Linked DNA regions of Daphnia pulex. The protein of the gene in region 2 binds, or shares a complex with, the protein of the main gene of each other region. Links are inferred from orthologs where the notes say so. Each region holds a gene or a part of one and is shown on either strand. Other genes may lie near its edges. The genes, in order: sonic hedgehog protein A-like and protein dispatched homolog 1-like.

Evidence for each region.
Region 1: the proteins of protein dispatched homolog 1-like (region 2) and sonic hedgehog protein A-like are in contact, whole or in part, in a cryo-EM structure (PDB 6TD6), measured with the Drosophila melanogaster proteins. The link is inferred for Daphnia pulex from reciprocal best matches to the Drosophila melanogaster genes disp and hh. Residues at the interface, in NP_524734.2 of Drosophila melanogaster: His77, His78, Arg250, Tyr253, Glu296, Ala404, Gln405, Ser406, Asn407, Arg408, Gly434, Asn755; in NP_001034065.1 of Drosophila melanogaster: Tyr100, Pro101, Val103, Leu104, Lys105, Gln106, Thr107, Asn110, Leu111, Ser117, Glu164, Lys165, Val168, Ala228, Gly229.

Annotation. Positions count from the first base shown.
Region 1 is NC_060017.1:3,422,423-3,437,898, forward strand, and holds the start of sonic hedgehog protein A-like, read right to left. Parts: upstream 6,723-15,476; 5' UTR 4,517-6,722; coding exon 3,953-4,516; intron 1-3,952.
Region 2 is NC_060022.1:91,953-106,641, reverse strand, and holds the end of protein dispatched homolog 1-like, read right to left. Parts: intron 14,169-14,689; 5' UTR 13,948-14,168; intron 13,608-13,947; 5' UTR 13,552-13,607; coding exon 13,535-13,551; intron 13,116-13,534; coding exon 12,992-13,115; intron 11,744-12,991; coding exon 11,559-11,743; intron 11,479-11,558; coding exon 11,107-11,478; intron 11,034-11,106; coding exon 10,498-11,033; intron 10,369-10,497; coding exon 9,809-10,368; intron 9,738-9,808; coding exon 9,302-9,737; intron 9,227-9,301; coding exon 9,100-9,226; intron 9,016-9,099; coding exon 8,706-9,015; intron 8,083-8,705; coding exon 6,760-8,082; 3' UTR 6,535-6,759; downstream 1-6,534. Other genes in the region: putative protein TPRXL, read right to left, coding at 3,561-3,735, 3,818-3,924, 4,378-4,433, 4,698-5,118. UniProt on the Drosophila melanogaster protein: Segment polarity protein which functions in hedgehog (Hh) signaling.

The DNA.
Region 1 (15,476 bases), on a different chromosome or scaffold from region 2:
TGGCCCGAGACAATAACAGTCGAGAGAGAGTGTAGATATATGTGCATCATACCGTGTACAATATCCCCCCCTCCAATGTATGTACACACAGAGACACATTCACTATAAGCTAAAACGTCCTGTCAAACTTTGGTTCCATCACCCTTAAGATTCTTCTTTCTCTCTCACCGTGACTGAATAACAACGGCCATAAACAAAAGTTGTCCCTGCGCCACTATATACATACATACAGCTACTACACCACTACCCCGAAAGGTTTTTTTTGAATGACCAGAAAATAAAAACAAAAAAATACCAGAAGGAGGTAGAAGAATTCTTATTCACCGGGGTTCACCGAGGAGAATTCTTGTATACCCTCTGATCGATATCCTACTGGATAGATATGGTATAGTCGATCTTGAACAACCGAATCAAAATGAATGTACACTAGAAGGAGTCACTATAAAGCTATTGCGCTATAGTGCCATAAGGACAGGAAGAAGTTACAGCTGGAAAAAAAGAAACGAGACTGTGTAATGGCGGTATATAGTAGTGGCACGTTTGGGTGGCGACTATCTATCTAATGGTATCTCTCTCAAAAAGTGTCTGTGAGAAAAAAAGGCGACTTCTTTTTGGCCTTCGAACCAAATTGAGCGCGCAAAAATTCAAAAATGTCAAGCCCCCCCAAAAAACACACGCACACACACACTCTAGAGGAATGCCGGATCCTATAGCGCCATATAAATGCCACCAGTTCGTCTAACTCTGAACCGTGTCATGACCGTGTCGTCGGTCTATGACAATATGTTTCTTTTCTTTTTCTTCTCACTCCTCTCTCCCCACTACCGTCGAAGAAAAAAGTTAACGAAAAAGCTACGGCAACACACGGCCGTGGGAATTTGTTGTGCACCCGCTTCTTCTTCTTCTTTCCCCTCAACGGACCTCGAAGTGATGAGGAATAATAAAATTTTAAAAAAAGAAAAAGAAAGAGAAAAAAAAACAGGGCGCAGAGGAGGCAGCGAAATTCTGCTGTGAAAGACAACGAGACGACAGGTAAAAATGGGCCAGCATCATCCACACACACACACACTACACACTTGTGTGTGTGTGTGTGTCCATCTCTGTCCCGCATCTTGTGGGAAGAAGAACAAGTCAGAAAAAAAAGAAGAACAAGTCCCAGGATATGGCATGGGAACGCCAAAAAGGAAGAGTATCTCTGTGTGTGTCTATAGGTATAACCCCACCCTGTAGGTATACAGCACATATCCCAGTCGTATATGTATGTACATTTAGTGGCTAGAGTAGTAGTAGAAGAAGAAACTACCTACCTTTTATTTTCCCCACATGACAGTTCTACCTAATTCTGCTCAAACAAGTTAACTCTTCTTTTTTTGGCCTCAATAAAATGTCCGAAATCAACTCTGAATTTCTGGCCCCCCCACCAATGATGAAAAAGTCGCCATTTTTGTCTTTCTTGTTTTTTATTGGTGGGTCTTGACACGGACTCACTAACTTCCTGAGCCGCCAATCTCATGTAGGTGATGCGTGTCCTACATATAAATCTCCGACCGAGTTTCGACCACGCCCACGCGGGATTCGGTTCCCATCCGACAAAAATCAAAAAAGGAGGAAATGAAATGAAAGCGGAAATTGTCGCCGACTTGCGGACCCAGCGCACGCCGGTAGTCCAAACGGGAGGGTTTCTCAGACGCCGTGGAAAAGACGACGACGACGACAAGAAACAACTTTCGGTGTAACGTTTCCTCGTGCCCGGCCAAAAGTTATACGAGGACACGTCACACGCCCAAGTCCATTTCTCCGGGCAAAGAATTCTTTGGTTTTTGAAATCAAAGTCAAAAATAATGTTTTCTTTTTTCTTCCCTCCCGTTAAGAAAATGGAGAGCTTCTCTTTCTTGTTGGTGCCGTAACATTTCCGACTTTGCGGTGAAACCGAATCTCTCGATCGGACCGGGCAGGAAAAAGGGCAACCCACCCGCGACTGCCCCAGCTCTCTCTCTCTCCGTTGCGCGGGGGGGTTCAAATAACAACAGAAGACATGGAGAACGACGCGATGAATACGTACATGTACACAACCCAAAAAAATGTCTTATAAAACATTTTTTTTTAAGTTGAAAAGAAATCGTGGCGCATTCTTCTCATAACTTAAATATCGAGAGAAAGTGATTGAATCATTTGATGCAACACTTTTGAGAATTGATCTGTTTTGAATTGGGCGCGCCAGGATTTAGAGAAAGAGAAAACAAAAGGGAAATTTTCGAATGTCTGTCAAAGATTTCTTGATTATTTCTTATTTGATTTGTTATTTAGGTGAATCCCCCCACCCCACCCTTCTTGCCCAAAAAGCTGAGAGGTCCATTTGACACTTGGGTGACAGTCACGCCGACGTGTTACTGTCAATAGCCAATAGCCCCCCAAGCAGCCAGCCGGGCAAAGAGAGCTAAAGAGAGAGAGAGAGAGTAGCCATCTAGCTTTTTGTTTTCCGTGTCTCACCATATCATTTTCGAATGGGGCGGAGAGCGGTTGGTGGTGGGGGGGAATTCCATCAGGGGCCTCTTAAGAAGACGACGACAATGACAGGAGAATCAAAAGCTTTTCAGCGAGGTATTTTCAAAAGTCACATCAAGTTCCCAAAAAGACAAGAATGAACACCGCGCCCTGGCACACACACACACACACAGCCCCAATAGCCTTTTCCCATCTCTATTATTTATTGGCTATGATTGTCGCCTATAGATATCATAAGACTATACATCTCTCGACTCTCATTTATCGCAATTAAACCTCTTTTTTATTTATTCGGGTGGGAAAAACTATCGGCGGTCGAATTGGGTGGCTTCTTCCTCAACTGTTTTCTTTTTCCTTATTCTTTTTTTGGGGGGGAATTTGGATTTTTATGTCTGGGGATCGTGAATGATCTTCTCGAGTCAGAAAACCAATTGTCACCTGTCTCTATTTTAAACCGTGGCCATGGGAAAAGGAGAAATCTCTGGGCCTCCCCTTCAAGAAGAAGAAGAAGTCGAGACCGGTGCTAAACTCTATGGGGGCAATCTGTCCTCTCAGGTAGTGCGTACACATCAATACAAGAGTAGTACATATTCATACCAATATAAAAATATGAGTATATATATGTATGTGTATAGAGAAAGGAGAAAGAAAGAAAAGGCTTTTAATTAGGACGGGCATATCTTTGGCGATGGTTAAAAAGGTATACACACACCTGATTTCTCTCTCTCTCTCTTTTCATCTCACATGTCACTCCTACATGGACGGGGTCTCCGCCAATGTTTGTGCCACTGTATAATTGGATTTCCAGCCGTGTGAAATGAAGAAATTTTCTCTTTTTTTATGAAGAAAATTCACGGATCTCCCTGACTGTTTGTGTGTGTGTGTGTGTGTGTGTGGGTTTTTTTTTTTTTTCGCACAGTGTCAAAATAACAAAAGACAAACTTTCAAAACAAAAAATATTTTGGGGGTAAAAATTATAACAAGTCAAAGGAGTAACGAAAAACCTTATTCCCCCCCACCCCCTCCTTTAGTTGGTTGGTTGCCGTGTAAAGTAAAACCCATAAGAGGCTTATTTGGAGCCATCGGATACCGCCATAACAGTTCCGGCCGCTGGTTCTTTTTTCTTTATTTTTTCGTCGTCGTCGTCTACAAAAGCCTATACATATAGCCTACAGTCATAAAAAACCGACGAGAGGAAGGGAAAAACTTATAACTATATAATCGCGTGTGTGTTTTCTTTTTTACTTGTGTTTCGGCCGTCTCGGTCTACCACCACCACCACAACGGCTCACGGTGTGGTTTCAGGTAGGCGACACCATTTAAATAAAACAACCGAAGGTTTTGAACCCGCAAAACGGATTAGGCCTATTGGCTTCCAATTCGATCGATATATGTAGCTAGAATAGAAGGGCGGGAATATTTGAATCACCCAAAATGCGACATTTACCTGGGTCATGAGTCGATCGGCTCCCGTTCCTTCCTCGTCTTTGAAGACAATGTCCGTGTTGTAGTTGGGCACGAGCTGCTGGAACCTGGGATCGTCGCGCGTGATTTTGCCCTCGGTGAGTCCGCTGGCGCCGAGCGTGTTCTCCGACACGTTGGGCACGTGCTGCTTGAAGACGAGCGGCGTCAACTTGCGCGGCGACCGGCGGCGGTTGGCACCCCGGCCGGGACCGCAGGCCGTGGCCGGTGACGGCAGCAACGCGCTCAACACCACCAGCAGGACCAGGAGCCAGTAACAGCAGCCGGCCGACGAAGATGACGAGCCGGGCGAGCGACGTCTGTTGCTGTGAGGGCGTCGTGATGAGGTGGTGGTGGCGGAGGTGGTGGTGGTGGAGGAGGAACAAGACGACGCGGATGATTGGGTTGGACGCTCGACTCCATCACCGCCACAGTCGCTGCAGACGCCGACGCTTATCCGCCGCCGCCGAGTCCGAACGTGACCGGCCTCCTCTGATGAGCACGTAGGCCTTCCAGCACTGGACCAACACTCGACGAACGACGCCATCATTTTTTCTAATTTTTACTTCGACTTTTTTCTCAATTCGCTTGTTTGAACACTGCGGAAAATATTTGGGAACCGAACGGAGTAGCACTTTTTTTGGTTGGGAATCCCGATGAACGAAATGAAACGACGACGGCACCGTCGATATGTAAATCACCAATGAGGATCGAGGTAAAAAGGGGAATTGGGGAAATCAATGGAGGCAACAGCGAGGAATAGACGCGGGCCGATAAATCTCTGATCGTGCGCTGGGTTGGTGTCTAGACGCGGACGTTTCGACACGATCGACAAACGGCATCGGCTCTTGGGAGAGTGTCATTCCATCTCTCGATGCCCAGCCGTCAGCAGAGGGCCAATTTAATTTGTAAAAAATTTTTGTGTTTTGACAAATACGGAAAAAAAAATAAGAAAAAAATTTTTCCAAAATTTCGACAGAAATAAAAATTCGGTTTTTCTAAAAATTTGTTGTTGGGGGAGTTAAAAAAACCAGAGTGGAGAGGAGGATAAAAAATGGTCAAAAGTAGTGGGTTATCCGACAGGAAGCGCGGAGAGACGATCTCTGGACACCGGCCGATGAGGTATCTGTGATGGAACTGGCAGCAAATCACCGAACCACCAGCACTCTGTGAGTCTGCAGAGCTGGAGGAGACGGCGGAGGCGGGGTAGTAGCAGTCGACCAAGAGGAGGAGGAGGAGGAGAAGGAGGAGGAGGAATAAGGTGACGCTGGAGGAGCAGAGGAGCGGATCGGATCGGAGAGGTGGGTCATTGAGAATCGGGGGGGTATGAAAGGTCTAGAGGTGAAAACATTCACTAAAAGGGAATACAACGAAAAATTGAGGAGGGTCTCCAGGTGCCTTCTTCTTCTTCTTCTTCTTCTTCTTTTAAATAATATTTTGAAAAGAACAAGAACTTTTTCTTCTTCTTTGGTCGAGCTGTTGGGATCTATGTTGTCACAACAATGTGTCTTGACGGACTGAGCTCCAAAGTCCCCACCGGTGAGTACAACTGGGCGTACAGACACACACAGCAGGGCGGAGGGAAAAGGAGCAGCACCCGACCTCCCAGTTAGAGACACACGGCCAAGAAGTAGAAGAAGACGAAGAAGGAGGTTATACATAAGAAAAGGAAGAAGAAGAAGAAGAAAAGAGATTTTTGGTTTTCGGTTTGTTTCACCTTGTTCGGTGTCTAAGGTAAAAAAAAAAAAAGAAGGGGGGTTCTGTGTGTGGGGTGCGCTCACGGGTGCGCAAGTCTCCCCTTCGGCTGAGCACCCAAGTTGGTACACGGGAGAGAGAAAGAGGCGGGACTTGAGGACACCTCCCACTCTGGAGCCAAGCTCCGCCCTCAGCGTCCATTTCAAAAGTCTCCTGCTTCTTTTGTGTGCGTGTATATAAAAGAGACTTGTGTGTGTGAGTATCATCGAGAGAGAGAGAGAGAAAAAAAGATTTTCTTATTCGGGTTGTGTATAGTCGAGAGATATGTAAGAATCCCTCCCACTTGACCACCACACTACTACACCTCCACCGACCGGTGCGCCCGTCTTTTTCTTTACCCGAGGCAGGGACACCTATAAAAGCCGATGCCACACACCGAAAAAGATAGTCGAGATAGGCAAACAAAAAGCTAAGGAAAAACACATGGAACAAGAAGAAGCGAAGCCAAAATAAAAATAAAAGGGGCAAGAAAAACCCCTGCAGAGGTGCCGAATGCGCCATCAAAAAGAAGAAGAAGAAGAATCTTTTATTTTTCTTCTTTTCCTTTTGTCTCTCTTCTATTTATATGCCCCCGACACACAGAGCGTCTAAAACCCATCAAAACACACACACACATACACAGGAGGGAAAGAAAAACCGACATCTTCCAAGTGCTAATGTTGCTTCTCTTCACGAAAGGGGCGGGGTCTAAAATTCCTTTCCCCCCGCGCTGCTGCTCCATTCAATTTCAAATGTTGTTATACATTTTTTCTCCTTCTTTTTTTATTTTGCCCTTTTGCTCTATAGTGTACTACCTTCAAAAAACTGTAATTAGATTTCATTATTTATGAATCGCTCTTCTTATCACCGCCCACCTCTCAGAGTTCCATCCCGTCAGAAACAAAAAAAATAAAAGGAAATCAATGACGAAGCTGAAAAATTAATTTTGCCTGGGCCTCTTTCTTTTTAAAATAAAATTCTTTTTGTTTTATTCCGTGGAAACCTCTCAACGTTAAAAGGGCAAAAAAAAAATTTAAGGAAAAATAAATGATCATTAAATAAAAAAGAAAAAAAAAAGGCGAAAGAATTCGGTGTGTGTGTGTGTGCGCGTTTAAATTATTTCTTTACGAGTGCGCGTAAATTGTTGCGTGCGTGTGCGCTCTCCTCTCCGGCCTTTTTCGATATTTTTGGTATTTTTTTTCCCCCCTTCTTGTAAAGCAAATCATTTCGGTTATTAGAAGAAACATCTCGTTGCGTCTGCCGCCCTGATTGCCCATTTAGGTATTAAAATACCACATGTGTGTATAAATAGGTGTACATAATAATAAGTGTCCCCCAATCATTTGCGTGAAAGACAAACCAGACGTGAAAAAAACAAAAAAACGCCAAAAACAGTTGCACGAACGAACGAACGAACGAGAATTTCGGTCGATGCTGCCATTTGTTTAATAGCTCTTTCGCGGCCTTTCGGCCTTTTTTCTTTTTTTTCTCTTTCCCGGAGAAATTCCTTTTTAAAAAAGTTAAACGATGGCAAACCGCCATCACCTGACCGCCCGCACCGACGTTTAAATGCCACCAGTCTCTTTCTCTCTTCTTCTTTTTCTCTTTTGGTTGGAGGGGAATTCAAATAGAGAGAGAAGCGGGAACAAAACAATCGACACAACTATTTGACATTGAAACTTTTTTTTTTTTTTTTTGGTTGTGTTGCTGGCGCAATAAAAATTGGCGAATCAATTCTCCCCTCTCCCTTTCGAGATGAAAGATTGTTACGCCATAATTGGATGCCAGTCTGTCTGGCGACGTCCTGGGCGGCAAATAATCATTCCGCACGATATCTTCTAGCCTACTACATGTACAGAATTTCTTTGAAGGCCTGTTGTTGTTGTTGTTACAGATCAATAGACTCGCAAGAAATCCAGCCCCCTCCCAACATCACCTGTACACAAAAGACACCTGGAAATATAAAGAGGGTCCGCGATAATCTCCCCTTATACTCTTTGAATGGCCGGAGCTTTTTCAATTAAACCTCTCGGCTTCTGCCGGAGGTCTCAAGCAGAAAAGCGAAAGAATGATAAGAACATGACTGGAATCTTGTTAGCTTTAACGTCCCGTAGGATATAAAGAAAAGAAAAATTAGAAAATTGAAAGAAGAAGTGAAATAGAAACCAGAGACAGACACACACAACGGAACACACGCGTTACACATATAGTGGCAGAGAAGAGAAATGTTTGATTATTCCAAACGTTTGGAATCTTCTACCAGGAAGTGCCGGTTGGGCGGCAAAACCCTCTTGGTGGAAAATATTGTTCAAATTTCATTTTGCTTCAAGTGTTTCAAGTTCAAATATCTCTGAATGTGATTGTTTATCCACAGACAAAGTTATTTGTGAGGTATAAAAAAACAGGCCCAATCTGCAGTGGTTCTACGCGTGAGCTATTTAATAGCCCCGACTGAGAAAAACCAAAACGACAAGAGAAAACAGTTTAAGTCAAAGGCCTGGCTCAGGAATAATCGTACTCCGCATCGATTTATGATAAACGCCACTCAATAGTCAGAGAGGAAAGAAGAAAATGAATTTGTCCTACCTTTAAGCCTGGGAAAATACAGCCAGGTCTCCACAAGTGCTCCATCCATCCACAGAGAAGTTGAAGTTGAAGCAAGAAGTTGAATCCACCAAAAGGGAGTCCTCGTGAATACACCCACATTCACATGGGCGTACACGAGGACCAAAAAAGAAAGGGGAATTGAAGAGATCCTTAACTCGGTCGATACTGGAAGTTTATCCAATTAAAGAGGATGCTGTTTATCTAAATGAAAAAATTCAACAATGAGTTACGAAAAAAAAACATTTACAGAAACAATAACAAGCAAGGAAAAGTTGAAACTGAGACAGTCGTAAACCAGAAGTATACCCTAATTGTGAATCAACAGGAGAATTAAAGGTATCCATGAAATGAAATGGAAACTGCATTTGTGCAAGTCATGCATCATTTAAAAGTCTGGCAGGTCACATGCAGGTTGATATAAGTAACGAAAATTATTACCTAAGCGATGATACTGTGATTGTTGCTGATGGCAGGAGGTCATAAGTCAAATCATATGACTGGTGGATGACTGGCTGTAGTCCACCACAAGCAAAACTTTGCTGTTACGATGGTTGGCTCAGGCCCCAAATCTGCACAGAGAAAAAGGTTACAATATATAGTGCAAACAATCTGCCATGCATCGACAAGGGGATAAATAATGCTAGCAGGAAGTAAGAATCCAAAAACTTGGAATAAGATTAACTCTTCAATTTAAGCTCCCATAGCCATCCCATTTTAATCTGCTGAGCATGGTATAAAGAGTCCATGCTGCTGAGTATATATTTACCCGCCAAACACCATGGAGTGGAGAATGGAAAGCTGCGAGCTGCGACACCAAAGTTGGCATGACGATGACAAGATTTTTGTAAATTTTTTTTGTGCATCCATGTACAAATCTCAAAAAGTGATCGTTCCATTTTTCTATGAAATCTTTTTATACTATATTAGTCTCCTTTTCAAACTTGTCTTGAATGCTTGAGCCCTTGAGTACTTGTGTTGTAAAGTAAAACGGTCGATAAGGAATAGCAGACGGCACTAATCGTCTAATAATTAAGATTCGGCAATACTTAAGATATCGATTAGAATTTATAAAATCGACACCTTAATTCCAAACCGCCAAAAAAGAAAAAAAGTGGTTTAAATAATCGCACAGTCAACATCCGCTGAACGGATCGGGATTATTTCCACATCCAAAGAGCGGTAATAAACAGGATTTGAAACATCCTTCATCCAGCGCGTCCGTCCATTCATTTATTTTCTCTGGCGGAAATTAAAAACAAAACAAATAACAACAATCGCCGAGAAGAAGAAGAAGAAGACGAAGAAGAAGGAAGTTTTTGCAGCTTTTCGACCTCGGAGACTTGATATATTTCTCGGTATAGATTTCGACACAGTCTTTCTTTATATACCGGGAAGAACCGAAATGTGTTATTTCATCAGAGTGTTTGTATGTAGGCGAAATGAGAAACAATTGGAAGACCCTCCTATTTTCTCCTATCCCAGCCGACGACGACGAAGGTCCGGCGGTCTACACCCCACCCAACTCGCTGAGACTGGCCCACACACAAACACAGACGGGTGCCGCAAATAAATAGGGAAGTAAAAAAGGGAAAATAGAAAACGATTTTCCGAAACACTTACAGAAACACATACAAACACCCACAAACACGCGCCGCCATCACACACACACACACACACAGCGACCGCCGGTTGCGGTTCTTTCTTTCTTTCTTTTTTGTGTTGCTGTTGTTTTTCGGTCGCCTTTTTTTCTCTTCTTTTGGGTGGACGAAGTCTAAACAACACAAGAAGAAGAAGAAGAAGAAGAGGAACGATGATAAGAGCGCCATAACCCCTCGGCCTTATTCGTTCGTCACACACGACGGCAGCAGCGCGTTGAAAAGGATCGGGACCAGCTCTAGAAAAGCCCCAGAGCTCACGCCAAAGGCGCCGAGAGAGTTGTTATGCATACATCGCCGACGCCCCATGAAATTCTTGGCCGGACGACAGCAGCAGCAGCAGGTGACGGGGCGTTGAAACGTTTTTCCTGCCGTTTGAACTTGGCGCTTCTGCCGTTGGAATCTTTTGTATAAGACGCTCGCCGCAAAAAAGACGTTCAATGTAACACAGACACAGACTGTGGGGGCCGGGAAAAGTCTCAAAAGATATATATACAATTGAGCGGGCAGCGATGAGCAACACAATCTAGAAGTGGGGTTAAAATGGACGAGTCGAATTTTCTTTTTCTTTTTTTCCCGTCGACCACCCCGAGGTGAAATGTCTAGCGGCTTTTCTTTTTCTTGTGTGTGTTTAAAAGCGGAGCCTGTTTACACAGGAGAGACTGGCCACTATACTATCTACAACTTCTCCCTAAATATCCCGACAGGACCGTGGCAGATGCGGTCAAATAAAAACAGAACGGAACAGATTCCCCGTATTCTCTCTCCAGTTCTTTTTTCTTCTTCTTCTTCCTTTCTATATCCCAGTGTGTGTGACTGAATTGTTGGACATGTTGGGTGGCTCTTGGCCCTTTTCCCTTCACACTTTATGTACCACCGGAAGAAGAACCCCCCCATCTTTTATTTTATTTTTTTCCCGCGTATAGCTTGTCTATATGCCGACGACAGGATCGACTTGGATGGCCTATCTATCTATCCAGGAGGACCCAGTGTTGTTGGCGAGTTAACGCGCTTATCGATATCAATCTGGGCCACATAGTTGTTGGCCGCCTATGTCTATGTGTGTACACTCTATTATATTCTGGAGTTGAAAAGAAGAAGAGACTTTTTGACATGGAGAGGAGGCACACATACTACACACAGAGAGCAGAGTATAGTCAGAGGAAATGACTATAGGCGCGCTGGCCGTTTTTTTATTTTTTTCGAGCTGCTGGGCGACCCCCTGTCGTTCGGTCGCAGAAGGAGGCCGTCATGAGCTGGTTCTCCTTTTTTTCTATCGTGTCCGTGTGTGGGAAAACACCGAGACATTCCAACAGAGACAAACAGAGAGAGAAAAGAAGATAGTCCTCACCGCCCCGCTCCTGTCTCTCTCTCTCTCCTCCGCGGCTGCCTAAATAATCATAAAAATTTACACACGGTACATCGAAATGGACTTGTGGAAGAAGAAGCTAAGGGGAAAAGGTCGAAAACAAAAAAAAAACGGACCACATAAAGACTTTCAAACACCCAACAAAAAAGAAAAAAGCCAATAGCGAAAATGTGCGCACCCATCAGTGAAACTGGGAAAAAATGGGGAGATTTATGAGTCGTCCTTTTTATGTCTTGTGTGTGTGCGGACGACGCGGCCCGGCACACTGAATGATAATTTCCTCAATAGCCTCCACCCACCCATGTACACACACATTTACCACTGGGGTATACCGACGAATATGCACAACAAAGTGAAATAGATTATCGGTTGAATTTTTTTTATTTTTAAAAGGTTAACGGACTAAAAAAAATAAATAAAATGGACCTGGTAATTATTATCCGATTCCGGTATATTTATTAAGGTAAAAAAATTGTGGGGGGTTAAAAATTTTGATGTTTCTTTTTTTTTTCTTTGAATATAACAACAACAGCCAAGGGTGGGGGGGGGGATGACTCTTTGACACGGCCCGGTTTGAAAAGAAAACGTTTCCGACACATTCCACCGCCTTTTGATCCGGTCGCGGGTTATCTGCTGCGCTAGCTACAAGTCAAAACTTGCTTGTCAATGTGTGTGTGTGTGCACAATCCATCGAGACACACACAGGGAAAATGTCAAAGTATTGAGAGACCACAGCAGCGCCTATTAGAAGGAATATACATTATCAAAAAAAGGAAGGAAGGAAAAAGAAATATTTTCCTCTCAATCCTTTACCGTGTTGCAGGTATAATATCAGAGCCGTCGTCGATGATATAGCTCAAAAGGAATAGAGCGATGTGGGAATAGAAATATAGAAATGAAGAAAAGCGTTTTTCGGCTACTAATCTCCTTTTAAAGAGGACAACATTCTTGGGGCATGTATTTGATTCATGTCCGGTTGTATATACATACATACATGCAGTCGATATACATTTATGTACACGCTATATCATACAGCCCCCCTATGCCCCCCAAAAAAATCAAAGGACAATGTTTCGACTTTTTCCAGATAGATCCCACACATATCATCCAGGCCCATTTTTTCTTTATCCCTTTTTTTTTTCGGTTGAAAATATTTTGTGTGTCCTGTCGGATCTTGTCTTGAAATCTTCAAGCAATGAGGCCGATCAGGTGAATGATACCCAAGGGTCAATCCTTTCCGCATCTTTGACCGTCTTTCTCCTATTTTACTTTTTGTTTTGTTTCCCCTTTTCATTTTCTTTTATTGTTTCTTTTTATACCCTCCATTTAGCCTGGAAAACTATATTGGATGGAAACCGTACAGGGCTGTCTGGGCCCACAGGAGCTCGGCGTTGATCGACAGCGAAATCATCACAACTTTCTCATCCGGAGCAGAGCTAAATTCAGTTCGAGAGAAAATAAAAAAAGGATCGCATTCACAGGATTTTCTCTTGTACATATCTTCAGATCATTTTCCAAGATTATAAGGTACAGACCGCTCGACTTTTGAACATTTATATTGGCTGGACAAAAGTACACGTACACAAAGTCGTGTGAGATTCTTATCCCAAAACTGGATTGACCCCGAAAAATCATCCGAACTGCATAGAATGTATATTCACAGTCGTACACAATTATACGCAGTTAAAACAGTGTGTCTATAAACATTGGATGAAATGTGTATAACGCGTTTATTTATATATACACATATCAAAGGGGGGTGTGATGGAGAAACCCATTCACCGACATTCTCTTAATACTGCCAGACTTCCCACAGGAACTTTTTAATCTCCTAATAATGCAGGATTCAGCCTGACTGGGCCAAGAGTCTCAACTGGGGTATATCTATATTTTTATGGTATGCCCAGCTCCTCAGCCGTAATGCGATGTAGCCTACTACTATACTAGACATCAAAAGCTGTAGACTGTATATATGTAGGCAATAAAAGAAAATGGTGAAGCGCTTTACAGCCAGTGAGAGAGGGACTATAAGACCCAATCAAGCGAATATGTATGAAGACAATTGGAGGTTGTCTCGTTTTTCCCTATTTATTGGTTTTAATTTTTTTATTATTTCCACCAGATTTTGATTCAATTCCTTTTCGTAGAGGGGGGGACATTTTTTTAAGGGACTCTCTTTTGTTTTAATGAAGTGTTTATGTACATACACACAAAGTGCACAGTACATATACATCTAAAAGTGGACGGACATCCTCGAAACACCTTCTCATATTCCATTCACCGGTATCAAAGAAAAAAACGGCTTAAAAGATGTGAGTACACACATATACAGACGACAGTGTGTGTAAGATATCGCCCAGCTTTTCTTGTTTTTTCTTATTCTTCTTTATAATTCTTCACAGATGAAAAGTGTATATGGCTAATCCCTTTAGACAGGATTACAAGGTCCGGCGAAAAAAAGAGAACGGCCCTGTTTCAAATTTGTGTATACAGACGGGCGATATCTTCGGGTGTACCCAGAAACCCTCGGCCCCTCTCCTCGACACTACATTGAATATAGTATATACATCCTCTATATGCCACATGTTATACTTTTTATAGCCCCACGCTGAGTATTTATAGATTGGCTGACCAGTGCGCCCCATAAGCATCCAATCAGCTTCCTTGCGTGTGTGTAGTGTTAAACCCTAGATTCTCAATGTATAGGGCATTCAGAGACATTATGATCGAATGGCAATGTGAATTTATTTATTGATTTTTAAAATTCGATTGGACGATGTATAAACTGAGATTTATCGATGAATTTCTACAAAGTGTTGATTACAGTATTGGAGAGATATAGGATTTCAAACCGAAATTGTTTTCTTGTATGAACTGTGTGGTAGTAAAATTCTATAGGGTATTCGGCATATCGGATGCGGAAACATTTCACTCGGTTAATAGCACGGCAAAGCTTTTACCCACACACACACACACACAAGAGAATGTAGCGGACTGTTATTACAATAATAATAATGGACGACGAGAGGCGATCTTCGTTTTTCGCTGACCCATACGAGATTATCTTTTTACGAGCAGCCGGTGAGTGCTGCCAGCATTCCGGTTATTACTCATTGAAATGTGGCCAGACTTTATAGCCTGTGCTGCTGATGCTGCTGCGACCGCGCTATATCGACTTATAATCCTGATGGCTTTCAGCAGCTCTATTTCCCTCCAAACTATAGTTTCCACCCTTTCCATCATTTGATTCAATTGTCAACTACCTACGTATATAGTCCCATGCTCAATTGCTTTTCATCATCATCATGGATCGGCTGACCGGGGGACTCTCTATATAGACTAACTTTCGTTCTAAATTACTTTAACGACTGTAGCCCACACTTATAGTGCGCCACTACTGTATGTGTGCACATAGTACGTCGCTCATCATATCTCATCATTGACGGGCCCAATTGACTGCAATTGGATTGACTTGACCGTTATAGGGTCGTCTTTTTATTATTGGATTTTGTCTTTTTTGCTCCCTTGTTTTGTTGCCAGCTTCATTCCTAACTATATAAGCTGCTGCTATTATTTTCAGCCCTATATCTTTTGACGGGACCGAGGAATTTCAATTTTTCCCCATTTTCATTATTATTATTATTTTGTTCTTTTTCTTCTTGTTGGGTTGCTGTTGAATTGAACGGTTCCCCGGCGCGCCGCTATTAGCACCCGCAACCCAAATATTGTGGAACGGGTCGCGGCCGGGACTGTGGAGATGCTTTTTTGGTGGTGCAAGTTTTTTTTGTTTTTTTGTTGTTCGGTGCGGGGGGAATTTAAAATAACGAAACACGACCTCTGCTGCTTTTTGGTGAAACAGGAACTGTTACAACATTTTACGGCGCTTATTCCACACAAGCACTACTCGAGAGAAAGAGCCGTAAAAAGAAAAGTGGGCAGCCGGTGTAAAACAACGCCGCGCGCTGACTTCCCGCACAACCACTTCTTACACCACCAGCGGGAAACCTTGATTACAAGCTATAACTTACAATCAAATATGCCGTTTAACGGCTGCTTGATTCTCTCTCTCTCGTCTCTGACTGTTGCACCAGTCGACAAGGGAATTTTTGTTTTTCAACACACACAACTCTATAGGCTCTATACTA
Region 2 (14,689 bases):
CGCAGCCGATAAAATAAGCCCGACAGGACATTGACTATTTTACCCAACTGTTCAACACTGCATATACTGCATGGGCCAACAGAAGCAAATGACACATTGAAGTATGATGTTGAACGCTGCAAGTCTGCACAATTTCCATTTCAGCACATCTCTTAACTGGAAAATGACTGCAATTCCCCATGGACACCTACAAAGTAAAAGAACATTAATAAACCAAAAAACATTTTGGAATGTGAAAAATAAAGACGCCAATAATGATTTACTTTAAATATACACCCAACTAGAGAAAAAGAACTCAAGATGACCAAAGATCATCACATCACAAAGATTTCATTTCAGGTTTTTAAGAATTAAGGGAATTTATGTTCTGTTTGATCAAACAAAATTTCAACTCTTTACAAGAACTTTCAACAAAAGTTCTATTTAGAAGCACAAAATAAGATGTCACTTGTCTTCGACATCAAGAACAAAATGCTTGATTTATCATACAAGTACATTATTAGTTTATTACCATTTCAGATTTCCTGTTTTCATCACATAATTTCTGTCTTGCAATATAGTAGAGACCCTCTCGAACAGGCATCTTCATGACACGGCAGCACCACCTGGAGAAAGGAAACTTCTTTGACACGCTTTTACAAAATGAATGAAAGTAGATTAGAAAATGGACTGTTTGAAAAGCCACAACTTTCACGATTCACTTACTTGCTTTAAAATTGTTTCTGTACGTGACAAAAGTTGCTGAAAAGTTCCAAAAGCATTCTAAAGCTGCTGCAATAAACCTGAAGATTGCCCATGGGCTAAAGGATGTTTTCCATAGTTTTCCCTATGACAGAAAATACAATCTATGACGCAAAATAAAAAATTTAAAACCAAAAGTAGAAGAATACTTGTCTGTCGATGTATTAGTTGTTGAAAAATATGTTGACAATACATGTTGACACTGGGGTTAGTGATCTACCAAGCTCAATAGAAACTGCCTATAATTGGATGAATATTAACTAAATATGTTAAGAAGTATTTACGAATTTATGACTAGGCTATTATTGTTTTTTACCTGTATCAACTGGATGATGCATTAAACAAACGACGACTTTGATGAGTGGAAAACAGGGCATAACAACTACACTAAGTATCCAATATCCATGGACATGTCGTGTTAAATGTGAAAGAATGGGCCTGTTCTCACTTCATCACTTGGCCGAAGGAAGTTTGGTAAAATGGCCAAATTTTGTGTTTAACTGGTTATGTCTAATTAGCAACAATAGTTTTGGCAGCAAAAGGATAAGACAAATTAAATAATAGTGGCTGAAAAGCTATCAGGAAAACGATTCCAGTATTTCACGTGGTCAGAAGCTCACAACTCAAAACTCAAAATAATTTGTCACCAAGTTCAGACGACATCAGACGACATTCAACATTGCCAAATGTACTTGTAGTATTTCTTGCCAATGCGCTCTACGCGGGAATTTGAAAAGTCTGCTCTAGAAAATACGTAAATCGGAATTTGAAAACGAATGCCTCTGATTTATTAGAAAGTAGGAAATATAATTTTGACATAGGAATCACCGAATTTTTGTTTTCTTCCGCTAGGGAGTGAGCACTGTCTTCCGTTTATTCGGCACTGTCTCATGGATTTTATCGCAATAATTTCCTTAAAATAGGCGCAAATGGTTTTGTATTGACATCTGATATTTTATTAATTGGCAGACACCTTCAGCGCTATCAGCGCGTTCCCGGAATTCTTCCTGATAAGATACGGAAAAAATGGAAGAATGAAGTTTGAAGGACACATGTAACAAGTCAAAATCTCCGATTCATTTATTCAGTAATAAAAAACATTTTATTTGAAAAAAAAAACCTTACGATATAAGGACTGTCTGTCTTGAACGAATCCCGACCAGTGAATAAGGAATAAAATAAAAATTGGTGACCCAGTTATTACAAAATGAGAATCCATGGAAAAATGAAACACACGTAATATAGTAAAATACTTTGTCATCATAGAAAGTCCGGCGCTAAGGGGGGAAAGAAAAAACTAAAAAATCCATACATAGTCGCGATGAATCGGATGATGATGGTGATGATATTCTCTCTCACCTCAATTTGACTTTCAACTGGATGATTTTAATAGGGGGGAAAAAGAATCATTATAATTATACCAGCAACACTTGAGCGGGATTTCCATTGAATTTTCTCAGAGCTCGGAGTAATCGGTGGAAAACAGACCCGGAACAGAGCGTCGCATGAATCACAGAGATGCTAGAGAATCTTTTGACACACATTTAGAACACGGAATTATACGAGTAGACACGTTACAGATGATGGGGGGAGACTAATTAATTTGATTCTAGAAGAAAGACAAAAGTGGTGAAAACTATACGCGACGAAAGTCTCAATTTAGGGCCTTTTATAATCACTCCATTCCAGTTGGCAAACAAAAAGTGTTACTACAATGAGCATCCATCGGTGACGAATGCGGAGGACGATGAGACTTGATTCCGTCGAGGATTAAAAATTTAAAACTGCGCGCCGACTATCCATATTTATTCGCCTGTGAATAATAAAAGAGAAAAACAAGAAATCATAAAAAAGCTGAAAGATTATTGCTAAAGATAACACGTCAGTTGTCAAAGTTTACTCAAGTTCCTTTCATAAATTTTAATTCATAAAAGAAAAGATTAAAGCTGAGAAAGGAATTTAAAAAATTGGAACAAGAGGTATGCCTTTTGAATTTGGAGAACAAACAGATTTGTTCGCTGATAAACTAGACCCCCCCTCTCTCTTGGGTGCAGCAGGTCTTCTCTACCAGCAGCCCCCCTTTTCTTCGACTAGCTTAGTGATGTTATCAAAAGTCAACAGCATTTTCTGGGCAAAATGTGCGCGCTGAGAGTTATATTCAGAGTCGATTGCGAAATGTAATTGCCATTATCTTGTTGGTCGGGCGAAAAGAAATAAGTGGAAGATGATGACGTCGTCTCTATGTACTGAGAAACCCCGAAAAAAGATGCGACACGTGTCTGTTTGCAGTTGTCAAGACATTTGGCCGTCCATATTTCGCTGTGCTGCTGGGCCCATTATAGATTGAGCAAACAACAGCAGACACACAGACACATTTAGTGATGCGTATACCCAAAATTTTGGTCAGCAGAGAGCACATACAGTCGATGACCTTTCAACCGTTTTCCCAAGCCAATCGACAGACCATTCTCGAAATAGGCGAAGAGCGATAAGGTTTCCCCCCAACCAACATCCCGCCCTTGTTCGGCTATACTGCTGGGCAACCACCAGTAACTGTCCCAAAACTCTTGGTCGATTTCTGTTGAAAGGAGAAAGAATGATAAATATAGATATAGCCAGAGTCCCTAATCGACCTTGTCCTACGTAGCTACAGGCTCAAATAGTAATAACAGCTAATCGTTTTTCTCGAGAATATGGACACACAGAAAACGGGTGCCGGGCTGGATGGCTCGTGGGAGTCATTTCCCCAAGCCAAAGTTGTCATTAATGTCGTTTTTTTTCATTAATCTGAGAGAAAGAAAATGATGAGTCACCTGTGGTCACGTCACCGAGTCGGAGCCGAAAGCCTCTTGTGACGCATACGAGAGGTAGAGGAATCCATCGGGATCGTGATATTCGCGGTAGACTTCGTGCACAGTCTTGGAGAGCGACGCCATGCTCCGGTTGTTGACGATCAGGAAAATGGCCTGCGTCGAAGAGAGTCGCAGTCGGTTGCTAAGCGGATGACCAACAACAGGACAAAATAGGATAAAATCAGTTTTTTTGATTGAGTTGTTGCAAAAACAAATGGAATTACCGAACAACTGTGATGAGTTGCGACATGCTCAGCTCCTGCGGCACGAGGAATTTGCTCTTTTGCAGGTGAGGCAGCGACAGCTCCTGATCGAAACGCTCGACAATCACCTGTCGAAACAAATTAAAAGTTGTTAAGACATTTGGGTTGAACTGAGAGAATCAAAGATGAGACTTAGGTGGGCCAGCCAAACGGAAAATAGGAAAATAATCATCATCCCGAGATCAATAACACACGATGACTATGATGATCCATGTTGTTGAATGGATCGAATTTTCAAAGAAGAGACACCAAAATTTCCGTGGAAGAAATGAATAATAGAATAATAATCCCCCCTTTCAAAATATAACATCGCCCCTCTGATCACATAAAACAACAGTGTCAATCTCATGAATGAGGTCAGCCCCAACTCAGTCGGGAAACGGCCCAGACGTACAAGACAGAAGCGATCGTTGGATTTTCAACTAAATAATATTATCCATCATTTCCCGGAAGCTTTTTTCTTATTCTCTCATATCAATGTAAAAGCAAAATAAGAAATCAAAATTTTTATTATCACTTACTGGAATCTTTGATGGATATTTGGTCCGAATCGCTTGCACTTCTCCCTGTCGCGTTCCTGAATGAATTAAAAATAGAAAAATTATAAAATTTGGTTTTTTAAAAAAAGGAAAAGATTACGCCGATATGACATCACGGCAAGTTCAGGTAGAAATAAAAGGAAGCCCCCGGGAGAAAATAAATTCAAAGGGGAGGGTAAAGTAAAAGAAAAAAGACCAGACAGGTAGAGACAAAGAAATGAGACATTCGAAGGCCATGGCGTATTATATAATTTCGACATCAATTCTTATGTTATTAACATTTAAACAATAAAATAAAATACCCAAGGCTTTGCGACATTTAAAGTGAGTGCTGGTGGAATTGGAGCTGGAACTGGAACTGGAACTGCTGTTGCTGTGTCGTGCTGGGCTGTTTGAGACGAAATTGTCGTTGTCATCGCATTGCTGAAGCGATTCGAGACTCTGAACGGGTGAGGGGTTGGCGGTGGCAGCAGCCACACGACGACGATGGCCAGAGATGCTCTCCAACGAGTTCTTGCTGGACAATGAAATGTTATGGTCCAGTCCTCCTCCAATCGACTTGAGACTGTTGCTGGGCGACTTGACGGCCAACCCACTGCTGCCAATTGTCCTGGACTCTGTGGATGATGAGCTGCTGCTGCTGGTGGGGCTGGGACTGCGTCGGTTGAGGCGTCGGTTGGTGGTGGTGGGTGGTGGCGGGACGACGTCGGATGACGAACACATAATAATGGGACGACGGTAGTTGAACGAAAGGATGCACCAGTCCCTGGGTCCTGGCCCGGTCTGGTTGCTGATGCAGCCACCGGTGGCAGCCGACGCTGCGGCGGTGGCAATGGAGGCAGTCGACGACCGGCGCCGGTGGAGAGCAGCCCGGTAACACACGACAGAACTAGTGATCACGGAGGCCGCCAGATTTAAAACGGTTAAAGATCCTTTTTTTTTCTTTTTTCTTATTTAATTATTGTCTCGTCTTTTTTGGACAATGAAAAACAACTTTTTCTTCTTCTTCTTCCGTCAGAATATAATAAACGATCAAACCGTCTCGATTTCTATCTGTCAAAATTGAAATCAAGTCTTAAAAGGAACGAACGAGGTTGTCAAGAACTTTTTCTGAGGGGAGTTGCTGGACTGGGAGACGAGAGAGAAAGGGACTTGTTGGCACGTTGTCGTCGGCAGAGAGACTGGCCTGGCCTGACTTGGATACTCGTGCGCTGCTGCCAGCGCCAGTTTGTTCGACTTGTCAAATGCGAGCAGTTGTCACTCGAGGCGATGATCGTCATCACAGATGGGCAGAGATGGGGGGCTAGAACAGAGGCGTGGTGTCATTTCAATCGATCCCATTGGCTCCTAAAAATGTCACAAAGATATTCCCACTGTTGCCTCTCTTGTTTTGTATCTCTGGCGGCCGCGCACGCGCTCATCTATCCGCTTTTCCATTTTCTTCAATTCATTTATTTTTATCTTTTTCTCTCGTTTGTTTTTATTAAAATAATATTCAAAGGTTTTTCTCTCTCTTTGTCGTTTGAAATAAGGGGAAATGTAACTGTTGCATTGTGGACCACACGCGCCCATCACTTGGCCGGCTCATCAAAAAAGTCCGGGAGCGCGGACTTGTGGTCACGCCAACGATCACGCCGTTCACTCGTGAAAACTGCCCGTTTGTTCTCTCTCGTCTTTACCAACCGCAGCAGCGACAATAGCACATGATTGTGATTCACTTTACAACCGATTACACAACATGTGGGTGAGATGATTGCCCTTGATCCTTCACCACCCCCACAATACACAGAGCACCTTCCCCCCGGGAGCAATAAACATTAAAGATAAATATCAAAGGATATACACACACGTACGTATGTGTGGGGCTGTAATAAAAGGGGAGGGGGGACGAAGGTCTCTTTCAGCTGAAAAAATATGAAAGACAAAATAAAATTCCGGACGCCTTTTGGATGGGGGAAATGTGGTTTGGTTGTAGTACCAAAGTCTTTGCACGTGTCGACCTAAATTCCGGAATCAAATGACCATCATCCCCCCCCCCCCCCCCCCCGTTAATGGTCGGCTCCTAAAAATAGTGGAGGGGGGGGAAACATATTAAAAAAGCAGAGAGCCGACCCGACTGAATCACTGGGTAATAACAAGTCAAATGAGTTTGTGTGTATTTGAGATCAACACCACCAGCACGAGTGAATGCAGCAGCACTATTTATAACAGTGTCAGCCCTTCCATCGATTCTTTTTCAATTTCACACGTCAACAGTTTGGTACCATAACAAATAATATCAAAGCGCTGGATTGAAAAATACAAACAAAACAACACGGAGTTTCATTGAAATAAATATTGAAATTAAATATTCACGACGTTAGTTCACGCCGCCCACATGTCCGAGTTGAGAGTTTCTATGCAAACGACTTGGGGCTCGCGGTGGTGATCATGTGCTTCGGCCACCAGCAGGGCCGTCGTGCTGGGCAGGCTAATCTTCCTCATCTTCCGCCCGTTTTGAATCAACGTGACGGCGGCGGATGCCGGAGCAGCAGCAGCAGTGGTAGACCCGCTGGAGTGATGGTCGTTGGCGGCCACTAGGCTTCCGGATCGTGGTCGGTTGTTGCCAGCCGAGCGAACGGCTTTGACACGATGGCTGGACGTGAGAGGTTCCAGTTCGTGAGTCTCGCAATGGACAGTGGAAATGTTGGAATTGGGATTAGGACAGGAGGTGCTGGACGTGGACAGGGTCGACTCGGACAGTCCGTAACTGTAAACGGTTTTATCGACGTGCTGGGTCGGACCAGCTGGGCAACAACAGCAGCAGCAGCAGCCAGAGCCTAGACAGGAGGACGAGGGAATTTGGGAGCATCCGTTCTGCGGTCCACAGACTCTGAGGAGCGACGGGAGGAAGAGCGTCGAGTAGATCCACGACGTCACCATGACGACGACGACAAAAGTGCCAATCTGTTGGTAGGCGATGACGCTAGATGGCAGCACGGCCGCTCCGGCCGACAGCGTCGTGACGGCCGCCATGGCGATGGGACTGCTCATCCGCGTCAGTGAGAAAACGACGGCCGACTCCCTGTCCGTCTCATGGCCGCTGAGCCGATAGCCGACGGCGTAGTGGAGCGTGAAATCGACCGAGAGCCCGACGGCCAGGCTGACGGAAACCGATTCGAGAATGTTCAATTTCCAGCCGAGGAGGACGAGGACGGCGACTGAGACCAGGACGACGCTCGTCAAACAAACGACCGACAGGCAACTCAGCCACAGGTTGCCGGTGGCGCCAATCAAAACGACCAGGGCGATGGCCATGGCCAGCGCGATGGCGTGAACGGTGCCGGCCGATAAGCTGCGCTGGACGTCGTAAAAGGCCAAATCGCTGGTGAACCAGCCGCCCTTCATACCAGGCGGAGCCGAGGCCAGCTGGCCGTCCATCCAGTCGTCAACTTGGCGACGGAAAGCGTCCATTTCCGTGTAGGAGAGCGAGAAAGTGACGTTACTGTCGTATTCGACGACGACGGCGTCCAGTCGCTGCGTCGATTTGGAGAATCTCGGCCCGGCCACTCCGGGCAGGAAAAATTGGGCCGGCGTTTCGTAGAGATCCTTGACGGCCAGGAGGATGCACTGGTTGAAGACGTGCTCGCTGTAGGGGAATGTCGAGACTTCGCAGCACGGCGTCCTGTTCTTGCCATCCACCGAATCCTGACGGAAGAGAAAAGACAAAAGTTATAAGACGTGAGAATTAATCAGTTTGATTACAAGGAGACTAGCGGATAAAACTTGGGGGTGGCTATAGAGTTATCCTCTCTCCCTGGGCATGGTAGAAATGTTTCATTAACGGTTCGTTCGGGGGAACTTTTTCGGCCTTTTGCCCGATTGCCAGTGCGGATTTCCATGGCAACTTGTGAGAATAAAAGAGAAACCCCCTTGCCCACGAATTGAGGGTGTTGGAGGGGTTCATTCTTGTGGACTTTGCAACTCTCCCGGCCTACGTGGTTCAAAGTTGACGCGGGTCAAAAGTACACTGTACCCCCTCCTCTCCCTGTTCCCGGCAGCAGTAGCAGAGAGAGAGGAGATGATTATCGATTGGCCTCAAGTTTCCCGACGGACTTGTACGGGATTCTTTTGTTCAGGGGCTGGGCTGGGCCGAAATGAAAACGGGAAAAAACTTTTTTCCTTTTTTGACATTTTGGATTTCCCCCTTCCAATTGTTTTTATCTTGCTGTCAAGGGCCAAGGGGGGGGGGGGGGCGGGGCTTATCCCAGAGTCCCATTTTTTTGGTTTGTTATCAGCTAATGAAAGAGCAGCAGCAGAGCAGCAATCACCTCGCAACGCCTGTCCATCCAAGATTGGAAAGTTTCGATGAAGCAGTTGGGCAGGAGCGGGCCGAGCGTCGGCTGGAAAAAGGGCTGGTCGCGGATGTCCTTGCAAAAGTGCGAGAGCCACTCCTGCGACTCGGGAGCGGCCATGTTGAAGGAAGGATCGAGAACCAGCGAACCTTTGGACGACGGGTCCAGTGAGTTGCCATTGTCCTCGTCGACTACGCCCCACACGAAGCGCAGCGGCAGTTTGGCCAGCAATTCGGCCCGTTGCGAGCGCTCGAACCAAAATTCGTTTTTGAATTCCAAATCGTATCTGTTTAGAAATAGGATTAGGATAAATAATTAAATTGAATAAATTTGCCAACGGGTACAAAAGTTTTGTTTGGCTCTGCCTCACCGTTCAAACGGATGGTCGGATGAGAATAATTGAAATTCCTTCGTGTCTGGTAATTCCAATTTCGGGTAATGGAAGACGACGACACCAGCAGCGACGGCCAATCCGCCCAAAACGACAATCCAGAAATCTGCAAAATGAATAACTCAAAATGATCATGGATTGATTACAGTTGGAACAAATCAGTTCAATATAAATTACGCACATCGCAACTTGACGACGATGCAGGGCAGAATCTTGTCGAATGTGATGCGGCCCAGATCGCTAGTGGTGCGCCAGCAGCTGCGAAACGGATGGAGGACAAAAACGGGCACGCCCGGCCGTCTACTGGCGTCGGCAGTGGCGGTGGCGGCGTTGGCTGTGCCGGGGTGGCGACAAACGGGCCCGGAAAAGTATTTCTCGGCCAAGAGGACCGAGGCCGGCAGCCATGAGAGCATAAAGAGAAAATGGATCGTGACCGTCAGTCCGGCAAAAAGGCTGAAACACCGGATGGCCGTCACTGGGCAGATGAAAGAAGAGAAGAAAGCTGCCGCCGTCGTCAGTGACGTCACCAGCATCGACAGTCCGGCGTGACTTAGAGTGTCCATCACCAATTTGGCCAGGGTGGTTCCATCCTTGTCCAGCTTGACGCAGCGCCAGACCTTTAAATTTAAAACAAGACAATTTAATTGACTATTTCATTTTAAATCATAAAAATTAAAAATAAATAGACCTGGACGTAGACAAAGACGTCGTCTGCTCCTATGCCGACGACAATGACGGCGGCCAGGAGGTTCATAAAGGGGAAGAAATCCAATTCAAAGACGAACGTGTAGACGAAATAGGCGACGGCCAGCGAGAGGACGACCGAGACGATGGCCATCAAGGTGAGAAACAGCGAGGCCGTGTACCACCACATGCAGGTGCAGACCAGGACGGCGCCGACGCTGAGGTAGAGGACGTCGCGGATGACGTACTCGTTGAAAAGGGCCTCCTTCAAGCCAAAGTCCATGGCCACAACTTGCGTCCAGTTGTCGGCCAGCGGCCAGACTCCAACTCCGTCGCGGCCAGCAGCCGAGTTGCTGAGCCAATGGAAAAAGGGCAAAAGGGCCGTGCTGCGGGCCGTCGGTAGGAAAACGGCGGCGTAGCGCAAATGCGGCTGGCCGTCCACTAAAAATTCCGCGTCCGTTAAATAGTGGAATATATGAAAAATTGCATTGTGGCGAGTACACATTTCAGGCACGTCTCGGCCGCAATCCCCCGCCACCGCAGTGTCCGGCTGACTGGAATAACCTATCGCCACAAAGAAAATAAGAAGCCCAGCTTGGATCAACAACACACACAAACAATGGTGGGCCGTCGCCGGTGGCCACAATGTACATCTAATATAAACGACACGTGTACTACTACTGTATTTAATACCTTCCTGGACAATGGCGTCGCAGTTGGGCGAGAGCTGGAGCCCGTGGTAATGTCGGGAGCAAGCCTGGAGAATGTTGAAAGCCGCCGTGACGTCGTCGGCGTCGAGATCGGCACACGTGGAGCGATTCCTCATCAAGGCTACATAGTGGCCCAGCGTCCAGGAAGGGCAGCACTGCTGCTGCTGTGGCTGGCCGGTGGCTGGTTGGTGCTGATGAGCCGGTTGCTGGCAGATGGCCGGGAAGAGTGGACTAGATCTCATCAGCTCGTCCAGCCGGCACATGGATTGAATCGACTCGACATTCCACAGGGATCGATTAGCTGTTGCCTGGCCGGCCGCAGCGAAAATGACGTGAGCGTATTCACCGTGCGGTTGGTCGCAGAAATAGAACCGATTGTGAGACGGATGACCGACTTTCGTCATCTGCTGGTCCGTCTCCTTTTCGTTTTCTTCTTCGTCGTCGTCGTCGTCTCGATCGTCCTCGTCTGATCGCAACAGTCCGGCGGTGCCCAGCTGTTGCAACTGGCTCCACATGGGTCTACATAGAGAGGAAAAAGGAAATGTAGTGGTACACTTGACGTCCAGCAAACGTGATGGACTGTTGTTTTTACTTGTGTCGGATGGGATGAGCCGGTGAGCGAGTGACGGATTCGCCCCACTGGAAATGACTGTGATTGGCCGGCTGCCCGTCTTTAGAGCCGCCGCTGCTCTCCAGACCGCGCAGAACTTCAAATGGATGCTGCTGGACTTGTTGGCCACCAGCAGCACCACTTGCAGTAGCAGCTTTCGTCTGCCATTTATTCGTCTGCGGCGACGGCCAGACTTGATTGGCTTTGGCTTGGTTGCTGCTGCTCTCACGATGGCCGTCTTGGTCCAGGCTGTTGCTCCGCGTCCGCACCGATCCCCACGTCGACGACATTGCCGACGACACGGAACTTGTCGAGTCGCTGCCGTTGATCCGCTCAGACTGCTGCCATTTCGTTCTAATGTGAATCATTCAAAATGACAATCAAATGTCTTGTAGATGTGCACTATAGATGTTTACATGCAAATAAGGACTCACTTTTGCTTCTTCTTCTTCTTACGGGGCGTGTCGTTGCTCTTGAGCGACGACACGGCGGAAGTGCCGGCCGCCACAGTCGACTCGAGCGGATTGGTGCTGAGAGGTCCAGCTGGCTGGCTGGCCCGCAAAAGATTTTCCCAGGCGACGGCCCGACGTGATAACGTAGTTCCGCGGCACTCGAACCCCTTCGCGTTGCCCGTCACGTCAGCCGAAATTGAAAAAAGAGAAAAACACAAGTGCAGACAATTCAAATAAAATTCACGCCATTTGCATGTCGGAAAGTAAAAGGGGGGATGGAAAAGGAGAAACTGGCGAGTTGCGCATTTGACTTTTGTCGCCCGAAAGGATCCAGCTGACACACACAAGAAATTTTTCCAAAGCGGGCGGAGAGTGGAAATAAGCCGTACACGGTAAATTAGGCATTGAAGGCGATTGCGATGAAATGGACGAGAAATTTCAAATCTCGTCTGGCCTCGAGAGATGCCGGAATAATGCCATTGACGCAAGCAGGCCGAGTAAGAAGAATTGTAAGGAGTGTGTGTATCCGGAATTCTCGAAAGATAATTCCCATCTGCTTCATGGAGAGTAAAAAGGAAAAGAAAAAAAGGACCCGGGAGTCTTTAATCAGTCCGGGACTTTTTTTTCTTTTTTCCTCACACATCACGCGGGAAAAAGGAAAAGAAGCCGGTAATAAAAAAAGGGGAGGGGGAATATGGGAACGGACGGACACCCATATTGTTGGCATGGCAAGCGACGGAGGGAAAATGAAATGAGAAGAAACACTTGCAAGTTTTTAACTGCTGCCGGGTCGGAACGTAATAGCACGCGCACAGAAACGGGCCAGCCCAGCCCACCATCAGCCGGATTGAAATGCAGCCCCACACACCAGCACCAGCACTACCAACGCGACGACTAATGGCAATCGCCGTTGGGGTAACCCAAGGCCGTTTTGAGTCACTTGACAGAAATGAAACGCAATTTTGCTTGAAATGGACTCGAGCACAGCACAGCACAGCACAGCCGATCCCGAATTGGATTGCTGCGGATGCTACTGGCGGCTGCCTGGGCTGCTGGCAACGGTGGATGTGGGTAATTGGTTTTATTACTCGAGAAACTTATTTCGGCGTGCAAAAATAAATAACAAATAAAATAAAAACGGGAAATCCAATGGATCGATTCTACACGGAGAATTTCTTCCTAATAAATGGCCAGCGCAGAGAATAAAATGGGTCCCGACTACCTAATAATAATAACGAATGTTCACGCTTGAGCGCCATTGGCGTAGTCAAAAACTTAACGGCGGACGGGGTCGGCGAAAGACAAAGTCGTCGGGATTCCGACACTTTCGCTGGGAAAAGAAAAAGGCGGAAGGAGAACAAAAATTCCATAATAATAAAGGAATGGACGTGATTGTTGATCACGGCATCACTCACCAATTGCGGATCGGAGAAATCTGGAAGCGAGTGGAGAGTGAAGACGACGATGAGGCAGGAGACGGACAGGGTGGCGACGGCCGAGACCACGGCTGCTGGATAGGCCGACAGGATCCGTCCGTAACTGACAGCGCCAAAACATCAGGCGGGCGGACGGGCAAGAGGGGGAACAAGATAATTAGATTTTCGCCAACGTCGACCTTCCTCGGCTTGAGTGGGCACATGAACACACACAGAGACATGAGGCCAGCTCAGTAGGATCGACTGATTGCACGTTCTTCACTGACGTCTTCTCTCTCGTAAACTAATCACAGACGTGGCCCGTGACAAGCAAATCTCATTGACAATCTTTCACGTTTCCAGGAAAAAAGAAGAAAAAACTGTGCACAAGACATCAAACAAGGCGGATGCACGAGTTTCAGGAAGGGGTGTAACCTCCTCACGCTCCAATTCCTCGACAACTTTCGAGTCGACTGGGTACGGCCACGCACAATCACACGCAATAAATTGTCAAAGGAAAATGATTAATTTGTTTCTCCTTACCAGTTCATGATGGACATGGAGTCTGGCGGCTGATTTTCAGACTTGTAATGGTCCAAAGTCCATCGTCAACAAACTGCGGGATACACAAAAGAAAAAAAGAATCGAAGGTAATTACAAAATTCAAACGTCCGTCTTTTTCTCTCTCATCTCCAGTCGCATCGGCCAGCGCTTCAAATCCATCGGCAAGTTCAACCGAGCGAACTCTGCACTGCACACGACTCTTAACTGTCAGAATGTACAGTTCTGATTCCCCCCCACCCGCCAAATCCCTGACGACGGAACTGGGTTTACAGGGATCGCCGGGACCAGGTTTTATACGCCACACAGAGTGGAATAGTTAATGCAGCCACAGCCAGAGAGATAGAGCACTGGCAGACACGACAGATATCATATAAAGAGATGGATATAAATACCGAGATGCCGCATTGCTCGGTTGCCTTATCAAAAAAGAAACCAATTCCGTCGGAGGGTTTTTCTCTCCCCTTCCGCAACTTTGAGATCGGAGCGGATCGATGGATGAAAAGTTTGCCGTCGTGTCACAGCGGCGGGCAACTCCAGTCGTCAATTTCTTTTCATGGGCGGCCCGTGATGAAACGAGCCGAGCAACAGCCAAGCGAAAATCCGCGTTGATCGTCTAGAAAGAAAAATAAAATGGGAAAATGGCAGTTTCATATATAAAGTGGATCAGTCGACCTTTCCGACAGGACATGAAATCATCCAACCCTGAAAAGGAAATCACCGCCACTTTTTCCACCATTCGATACACTGTGTCTCTTTCTCCTTTTCTTTTTCTCAGGACTATCCAATTTTGACAATCAAAAGGGAAAAAAAAAAACAATTCAGAGGAAACCCATTTCATTAAATTGCGCCCCCAAGGTTGGAATGAAATTTTTCAGCTTCGCAGAGTTTTCTGGCTCCAGGTGATAATCCCACGAGAACACTGGAAACCACCCAAAAAAGAGATTTGAAATCGACACTAGACGCAAAGGGGAGAGAGAAATGAAATGAAAAAATAACCGAAATCTTTCGACCCGGAAGAATGTCGCGCCAATGCACTAAAAATTACACATGGGCCGTCCGTCGTAGACTGGCAACACTCGAAGGAAAAAAACTAAAAAATTCTGTTGGGCAGCAGCAACAGACACACGACACATT